Linked DNA regions of Sus scrofa. The protein of the gene in region 1 purifies or fractionates together with the protein of each later gene. This does not show direct contact. Links are inferred from orthologs where the notes say so. Each region holds a gene or a part of one and is shown on either strand. Other genes may lie near its edges.

Region 1 (4,189 bases):
AATCCAAAAAATTCTCAATTCAGAAGCACATTTGGCCTCAAGAACTTTTTTATTTTGATCCCAAGGTACTGTAGGCTGGTACAGTAATTAAGATTAAATCTTATACAGAAAATATAACTAATACAGAGACTGAATGGGTAGATTTTCACAAGCAATAAATTCAATGTCTTAACTATTAACACAGACAATCCCATAAAAATAAAGCATTATAAAGACTTCTAACAAATGTCAAAAACCGAACACACCATTACATGTTTTTCAAGTGATGGTGATATCTGCATCATCCAATACCTAGATCAATTCCTCTTAGGTTGAAATCCACTCATTTTGTTGTTGTTGCCTTTTTATGGCCTCACCCAAGGCATATGGAAGTTCAGGCTAGGGGTTGAATTGGAGCTGTAGCTGCTGACCCACACCACAGCCACAGCAACATGGGATCCGAGTCGCGTCTGCAACCTACACCACAGCTCACGGCAACATCGGATCCTTAACCCACTGAGAGAGGCCAGGGATTGAACCTGCGTCCTCGTGGATACTAGTCAGGTTCATTACAGCTGAGCCACAGGGGAACTCCTGCAATTCACTAATTTAAATCAGTTTTTTAAAAAAAGAAACCCAAAGACCACAACTGGTAATTATGTTGAGAAAAAGAATCATCTACTGATAAGTAACGTATTCACTAAGGTGTTCTGATTTTTTTTCATTAAATCAGACGGTTTAAGATTTAAAATTCTTTCATTCTAGAATACAACTTCTGAACATTGAACAAATTACAATTGACTTTTTCCATGAAAGCAGAGCCTCAGACGGGACAGTAACAGGGACAGTCTAAAGGTATTTCAACGGGAAGAGGAGTTTCAGAGTTCTTTCCTTCCTTCCTCCTTCAGTTGCTGCTTTTCTGGTTTTAGAATTTCAAACAAAGAAATACATATTGGCTCCACTGCTAAGAAACGCCCTCTTTCTCAGCAACTTCCTCTTCCAATTTTCTTCCCTACCACTGACATATGAGTACAATACACACTGCCGTCCTACCATTTTGATTAACCAAAAGCTCTGAGGCTTGGAAAAATTTCGGGCTGCAATTTATAGTACCCACTCTAGGTCCACAATTTTCATCATCTAGAAGTCAAATAACAGGAAGCACAAATAAAGGAGCATTTCACTTAATCAAGAGTCCGGCTACTGAAACTTTCACCCTGGCAATCAAAAGAAATTTGCACTAACAAATACGGAATTTCATCCATCCCAGGAAAACGTGGCCTTTTTGGGGAAAAGAAAAAGTTACTAGCCTGGCATCAACTCTGAATTGAGAATCAAGTCTATGCACCAATAGTTGGTGAACTTTCTTGTACAGGCCACACAGCAAGGATTCAAACTGAGTTTGCTGAGGTTCTGACACACTTCAATGTGACTTTTACAATTTAGAAATGGTCCTTTTCAACTCACAGGCTGAACAAAGGGTTACAATTTACTGTCTAGAGATCAAGACCCAGCCTGTCCCCATGCCAGAATTCAAGTAACTCAACTATACTTCAGTAAAATGAATTTTTTTTTCAAAAGTCAGTTCAAGTGTCTAGGACCCGACCTCTCCCCCAATGTGTGACAAAGCAAACTTCCTTTAAGTGGACAGTGAATTCTCCCTGGCTCAATGATTCTCAAAGGAAACACCTTCGTGTTGGTAAGCATTGCACTTTACTGTGTGACCTTGGGCAAGTTACTTAACTCCTCTGAAATTTAAGTTTCCTTATGTGCAAATTCTCAAGGGTAGCTGTAAAAATTAAATAAGAACATATGCCTAAACCAGGTATGACACATAGTAGGAGCACCATAAATGTTCCCCTTCCTCCTCCTAGTCCACCTGAACTCTTTTGGGCCTAAATTTCAATCAAAACCCCAAGAGGCTCCAAGGATTCCTTCCTCTTCTGTCTCTATGGAGACCTATATAAAACTTCCCCATCTCAAAGGCTCTAGGATCCTGGAGGACCAAGACAAGCACACTCCACCCCACTATAATCTGGGTTTACCCAGACCCTTCCTGGATGGGCCCCCGGAGCCAACTCTTCTCCTTACTCTGCAGACCATCCTGTAGACAGACAGACAGACACACACACACACACACACACACCTCCCTGCCACTCTGCAACTTAGGCCTAAAATCTCAAAAAGCACCTCAGTGCCTTCAGGGCCCTGAGATGGAAACTGAGGCTCCACCTGGGGAAGAACTTGCCCAATATCTCGGACAATGTCTGGGATCCAACTCTTGCACATCTGCCTGCAAAGGCTTCGCTTTACAAATGGGGGAAATGAGGCCCAGAGAGGGAAGTGACTTGCCCAAGGTCATACAACGAGTTGGTGGCAGAGCCAAGTCAGCTTGGGGCACTTCTCAGCTTCACAGGCCCCTCCAAGCCCACGAGGGGATCTCCGGGACACCTCCTCCTGGGGGAGGGAGGAGTGTACGGCAAGACACTACCCCGCGTTGCCGCTCCCCCGGCCTCTGCCGGTCCGCGACAGGAGGCGCGGCACCCACTCCCCCGAGACACAGAGCGGCTTGGGAGGGGCGGCCAGGTCGGCCCGGCGCCTCTGGGCCGGGCCCGCCCGCAGGGACTTGTTGCTCACCTTGTATCGTGCGGTCGCCCTCAGAGACGGAGGGGCTGGCCGGCCGCCTTTCTCTGCACGGGGTCTGCTCTCGCAGGCCGCCCCGCCGGCTGCCACACAGCCAGACCCCCCCCCTCAGCGCGCTACGCCCCCAGCCGCGATCACCCGGCACGCGTCCGCCATTACGCGATTCCCCGCCCTGGGATGCGGCCACACCCCGCCAACCGCCCTGATTGGTTCTCTGCCCCACCCGCCGGGGGCTTCCGGGTATTCCATTGGCCCGAGTGGAATGTCAGTTAAATAGCTACGCAAACGACGTACTCAATAGTACAGTCCCGGGAGCTCCACCCGAGCTACTTCCGCAATCGGAGTAAACAGCAAGGGGCAAACCAAATGAAGTGGGGGTGGATTTTAAACTTAAAAAAATTCCTAAATTCGAAGTAGGAGAGTCCCACCTAAGAAAATGTAAAACCTTGTAAAAGTGTATCAAATGGCTAATCCTCTTTGTTAGAGTTCAAAGAGCCAGAATCTCTGGTGGAAGGAAGGGGCCAGGCCCATGAACTTTCTGTAGCCACCCCTCAAGTTGCAGATATTTTTGACACTTTCCTCCGGGTCTCCCGCGGGGCAGAAAAAAGGGTGGGGAGAGTGAGTCATAGACTCCAGCCCGCTGCTAAGGGATTCATCCGGGGCGAGGCCCGGGGTCCTGTGACTGGGAGCTGGTTCTGAAAGGCCAGGGTCAGGTGAGTTGGACCCTGGTTCAGCCGCCACCTCACTCTGTTACCTCAGACAACTCTGAACTTATCTGGGTCTCAGTTTGTCCTTCCGCAAAATAGGAGTAGTCATGTCTGCCTCGTGTTCTAGAGTGCTTGTTAAGGATTCATGCATGAATGGGAATATGTGTGTCTTATCGATTATAAAAGGTTGCTGGCTGGATATCGAGATGACAAATTAACAGGTTAGCAAAGGAACCTCATTTAGGTATTCTGGAGCAACTGTGTAAGGCAGATACTGTCCTCGGTTTGCAGAAGTGAAAACGGAAAACTCCATGACTTACCCTGAGTCACCCAGAGGATATGAAACGACCTTGGGACTCAAACCTGTATCTTTTGGCTTCCATTCATGTATTTCTCCCTTCTGGGACTGGTGTCTCCTGAAAAAGACTTCCCTCCCCAACATCGTAGCATTCCAGGGAGGGTCTTGAAGATGCCTGGCCAGTCTCCCATCTCTCTGGCTACCATAGACTTAGGCACAGTCCACCCCCCAGCTATTGTTAATCACCAAGGTTCCTGGGAAAAGTGATCCTAGGGGTGCACATGAGCTGTTTCTGGGGTCCTCAGAAGCAGGAAGTGAGCCAGGGATGAAAGAGATGACAGATGGGTCAGCTAAGGCAGAATCCCAAACAAAGGGAGTTCCCTTTGTGGCTTAGTGATTAACGAACCTGACTAGGATCCATGAGGATGAAGGTTCAATCCTTAGCTTCACTTAGTGGGTTAAGGATCCGGTGTTGTCATGAGCTGTGGTGTAGGCCGCAGATGCAGCTTGGATCCCGTGTTGCTGTGGCTATGGCTGTGGCAGTGGCTGCAGCTCGGATTTG
Region 2 (4,229 bases), on another chromosome or scaffold:
GATGCAGCTCCAATTCGACCCCTAGGAACTTCCATATGGCAGCGCTAAAAAAAAAAAAAGAAAAAAAAAGACAGAAAAAACTTGAGGGAGGTCCATGGCTCAACAGGTAAAGGTTGTCACTGTTGAGGTTTAATCCCTGGCCCAGGAACTTATTTATTTATTTTGCTTTTTAGGGCTGTACTCATGGCATATGGAAGTTCCAGGTCAAAATGGACCTGTAACTGCCAGCCTACACCACAGCCACAGCAACTTGGGATCAGAGCCGAGTCTGTGACTTACACCACAGCCCACAGCAAGGGCGAACCTGAATCCTCATGGATACTAATTTCTATTTCTTCTTTTTCTGCTGCTGCTTTTTTTTTTGCTACACCCTCGGCATGTGGAAGTTCCCAGACCAAGGACTGAACTGTGCCACAGTTGCAGCCTGTGTCACAGTTGTGGCTTGTGCCTCTTTAACCTGCTGCACCACACAGGAACTTCCAGGGATCTATAATTTCCTTTCTTTCTTTTTTTTTTTTTGTATTTTTAAGGCTGCTCCCATGGCATATGGAAGGCTAAGGGCTGAATCAGAGCTTCAGCTGCCGGCCTATACCACAGCAACAAGGGACCCGAGCTGCATCTAAGACCTACATCACAGCTCATTGCAACGCCAGATCCTTAAACCACTGAGCAAGGCCAGGAATCAGTGAGAGTCCTCATGGATACTAGTCAGGTTCATTACCACTGAGCCATGATGGGAACTCCCAGAGATCTATAATTTCTTAACTACCATTCCTATCACAACTTCTATAGCAAGTAATATGTATGAATATGTATCACTGGCATATAATTTATACTATTCTTACTGCTCACTAATACAACCTTTCCCCCAGTCCCTGAATGAGGACTCCACCATCCCAAAACATATCAAGATTATAGTTCTAGAGGTCCTGCAGTGGTGCAGTGGGTTAAGAATCCGACTGTAGTGGCTCTGGTCACTGCAGAGGTGTGGGTTCAATCTCCAGCCCAGGGCACTGGGTTAAAAGATCTGTTGTTGCTGCAGCTGTGGCTTGAATTCAATCCCTGGCCCAGAAATTTCCATATGCCATGGGTATGGCTATAAGAATTTTAAACATTTTTTAAAAAGGTTATAGTCCTACACATTTGTATGCAAGTATATATATTTATATATTTTATAAGCTTATTATAAATAAATAATGTGTATTTACATACAAATGTAAAAGACCATGTATATATTTGTCTTTTCAGGGCCAAACCCAAGGCATATGGAAGTTCCAAGGCTAGGGGTTGAATCGGAGCTGTAGCTGCTGGCCTACACCACAGCCAGAGGAATGCAGAATCCCAGCCACCTCTGCACCCTACACTACAGCTCCTGCAACACAGATCTTTAAATTACTGAGTGTGGCCAAGAATCAAACACAGGTCCTCATGGATACTAGTCAGGTTTGTTACTGCCGAGCAACAAGGGGAATTCCTATATGTAAATATATTAAATCAGAAACAATGTTCTGCTTTGCTCTGATGTCATTATTTCATCTTCAAAATAGAAATCACTTAATTGTAGGAAATGGTTCTTATTCTGTCTTCCCCACAGAGACTGAGAAAGAGCCTTGTACTCAGATCTAGTTTGTCTTGCTGATGCTTTTGGACAAATCTCTTGCTGTCACCTTTATACACTCCTTTGGACTTCTCTTAGCAAGAAAATAATTCCTTTTTAAGTCTTTTTAAATTTATCAGTTTCCCCTACTTAATCGCTTAATGTTGCTGAATTAGTGGGCCAGAAGCACAACTGGAAAAAGATCACTAGATGTCATCCCCACACCTTGTGATGACATAAAAAGTTTACCCAGTGCCCGGTTCTTTCAAAGTAACACTCGGAGAACAAGAGTCAGGAGTCTCTGCTGCAGGGTGTAGCACAAGGATAGGAAACAACGCGGAAGGAACTTTAAGACTGTCACGGACAGGTCATGCCAAGGAAAGATTTTGCTAGAAGCAGACAACACCCACTGTGGTCTAGATACTAGCGATGCAGAGATGTCCCTGGCCGGACGCGATGTGGGCCCTCCTCCGCTCTCATCTACCACTCTGCACAGCACACGCCGAGACAGGAAAGGACCGACAGGAGGGGCGACTAACAGGCTCGACGCTAAAGGGCTTCTGGACAGCGCTCTCTGAGCACCAAGTGACGACTGAAACGAAGCACAAAAGAAGGGAGACGCCTGAAGAGAAGGAAAGATTCAGGCGATGGATGGGGCTGTCTGACACGTCCGGGAAAGGAACGGACTTGTTACTGGATGCGGGGGGAAGGCAATGAAGCCGATGAGCTCAGCGTGGGGCAGGATAACCCCACAGGGAATGATCAGTGGAGGCCGGGGGTCAGAGCGAGAGGGGAAAAGTGCGGCCTGAAGGCGGAAGCAAACACCAGCAGGAGCCCACGGCTCCCAGAACCCGCGTCAAAGCTTCTCAGCGCCCTCCCTAGGCGGGCCCCCCTCCTCCCTGCCTCCCCCTGCTCGCCCGCTGACCAAACGAGTTGAGAAAGTCTGCGATTTTCTTGATGCTGCTGGTGATGACTTCAATGTACTCCCGGTTCGCCCAATCCTGGTGAATCTCCCGCTGCACGGGATCCTCTTGGCCTGCCATGGCTGCAGCTGAAGGAAGCGCGACTGCGCACGCGCCTCGACCCTCCAGGCCTCCAGTGCGCCGACGCAGCCAGCCCACGCCCATGCTCGGTTGGCCACAAATCCACAGGCTTCGTGATGCGCCTGCGCATTGTCAAGTCCCCGCCAGCGTCTTCGCTCTTCTCCCACACCCCGGAAAACGGTGGCCGCAAAACCGGCTTGGAGAATGGAGTGCGCACGCACTCAGAGCCCCCCCCGTCCCCCCTCAGTCACTGGCAGTTTTGGTCGTTAGGGGGCGCGTGAGCCCGCATCAACCCTAACTTCAGGCGCTCCAAACTGAGATCTCTGACCACAATAAGCTGGGCAATGCCAATTAAACCACAGAAAACACAAGTCATTTCAAAAATGCCTTTTAACAACACATGATGCCCACCTTGCATTTATCAAATGAACAAAAGGTTATTTTTTTAAACTATAATACTTAGAGATGAAGAGGCTGGCTGAAGGGAAATGGGAAAATTAGTAAATAGCTGGTCATACTGTAAGCTGGCAAGATCTATTCAGAAGGAAATTTAATAAAGTCATTGGTGGAGTTCCCGTTGTGGCTCAGCCGTAAGGAACATGACTAGTATCCATGACGTGGATTCCATCCCTGGCACTAGCTCAGTGGGTTAGATAGAGCTGCAGAGTCTTTGATCTGATGGCTGTGGTCCAGGCTGGCAGCTTACAGCTTTGATTCGACCCCTAGCCTGGGAAGTCCACATGCCTTGGGATGCGGCCCAAAAAAGACAAAAAAGAAGAGCTCATTGGAAAAGAGAAAACACTTTGAGCACAATGTTCTTAAAGGCATCATTCATTTAAAAAAACAAATCTCAACTGTTGGGGAATGGCTAAATATCAGTATAGTCACTTAGAGCAATATTATGAGGTCATTTAAATGTCAATTATGGCAACAGAACACACATGCTAAAGTGAAGAAGAAAACAAAATACAAAATTTTTTCTTTTCTTTTTTTTTGGTGGGGGAGCCCGCACCCCTGGCATATGGAGGTTTCCAGACTAGGGGGTCTAATCAGAGCTGTAGCTGCCAGCCTATGCCACAGCAATGCCAGATCAAAGCAGCGTCTGCAAACCTACACCACAGCTCACGGCAACAATGGATCCTTGACCCGGTGAGCAAGGCCAGGGATCTAACCCGAAACTTCATGGTTCCTAGTCGGATTCGTTTCTAATGTGCCACGATGGGAATTCCTTTTTCTTTTTCTTTTTTAACAATTTTAAAAAATATTTTGTCTTTATTTATTTAGTCTTTCTGCCATTTCTTGGGTCGCTCCCACGGCATATGGAGGTTCACGAGGCTAGCGGTCGAATCCGAGCTGTAGCTGCCAGCCTACGCCAGTGCCACAGCAACATGGGATCCGAGCGGCGTCTGCAACCTACACCACAGCTCACAGCAACACCGGATTGTTAACCCACTGAGCGAGGCCAAGAACCGAAGCCGCAACCTCATGGTTCCTAGTCGGATTCGTTAACCACTGCGCCACGATGGGAACTGTCTTTATTTTATATAATGATATTTTTTCCATTATAGCTGGTTTACAGAGTTCTGTCA

What was found. The genes of interacting proteins can lie anywhere in the genome.
Region 2: the proteins of WASF2 (region 1) and BRK1 purify together in Homo sapiens (co-immunoprecipitation; 3 studies listed by BioGRID and IntAct, with this or other methods). This does not show direct contact. The link is inferred for Sus scrofa from reciprocal best matches to the Homo sapiens genes WASF2 and BRK1.

What each region holds. Positions count from the first base shown.
Region 1 is NC_010448.4:84,694,629-84,698,817, forward strand, and holds the start of WASF2 (wiskott-Aldrich syndrome protein family member 2), read right to left. Parts: upstream 2,801-4,189; 5' UTR 2,617-2,800; intron 1-2,616. UniProt on the Homo sapiens protein: Downstream effector molecule involved in the transmission of signals from tyrosine kinase receptors and small GTPases to the actin cytoskeleton. Promotes formation of actin filaments. Part of the WAVE complex that regulates lamellipodia formation.
Region 2 is NC_010455.5:66,314,009-66,318,237, reverse strand, and holds the start of BRK1 (protein BRICK1), read right to left. Parts: upstream 2,801-4,229; 5' UTR 2,725-2,800; coding exon 2,523-2,724; intron 1-2,522. UniProt on the Homo sapiens protein: Involved in regulation of actin and microtubule organization. Part of a WAVE complex that activates the Arp2/3 complex. As component of the WAVE1 complex, required for BDNF-NTRK2 endocytic trafficking and signaling from early endosomes.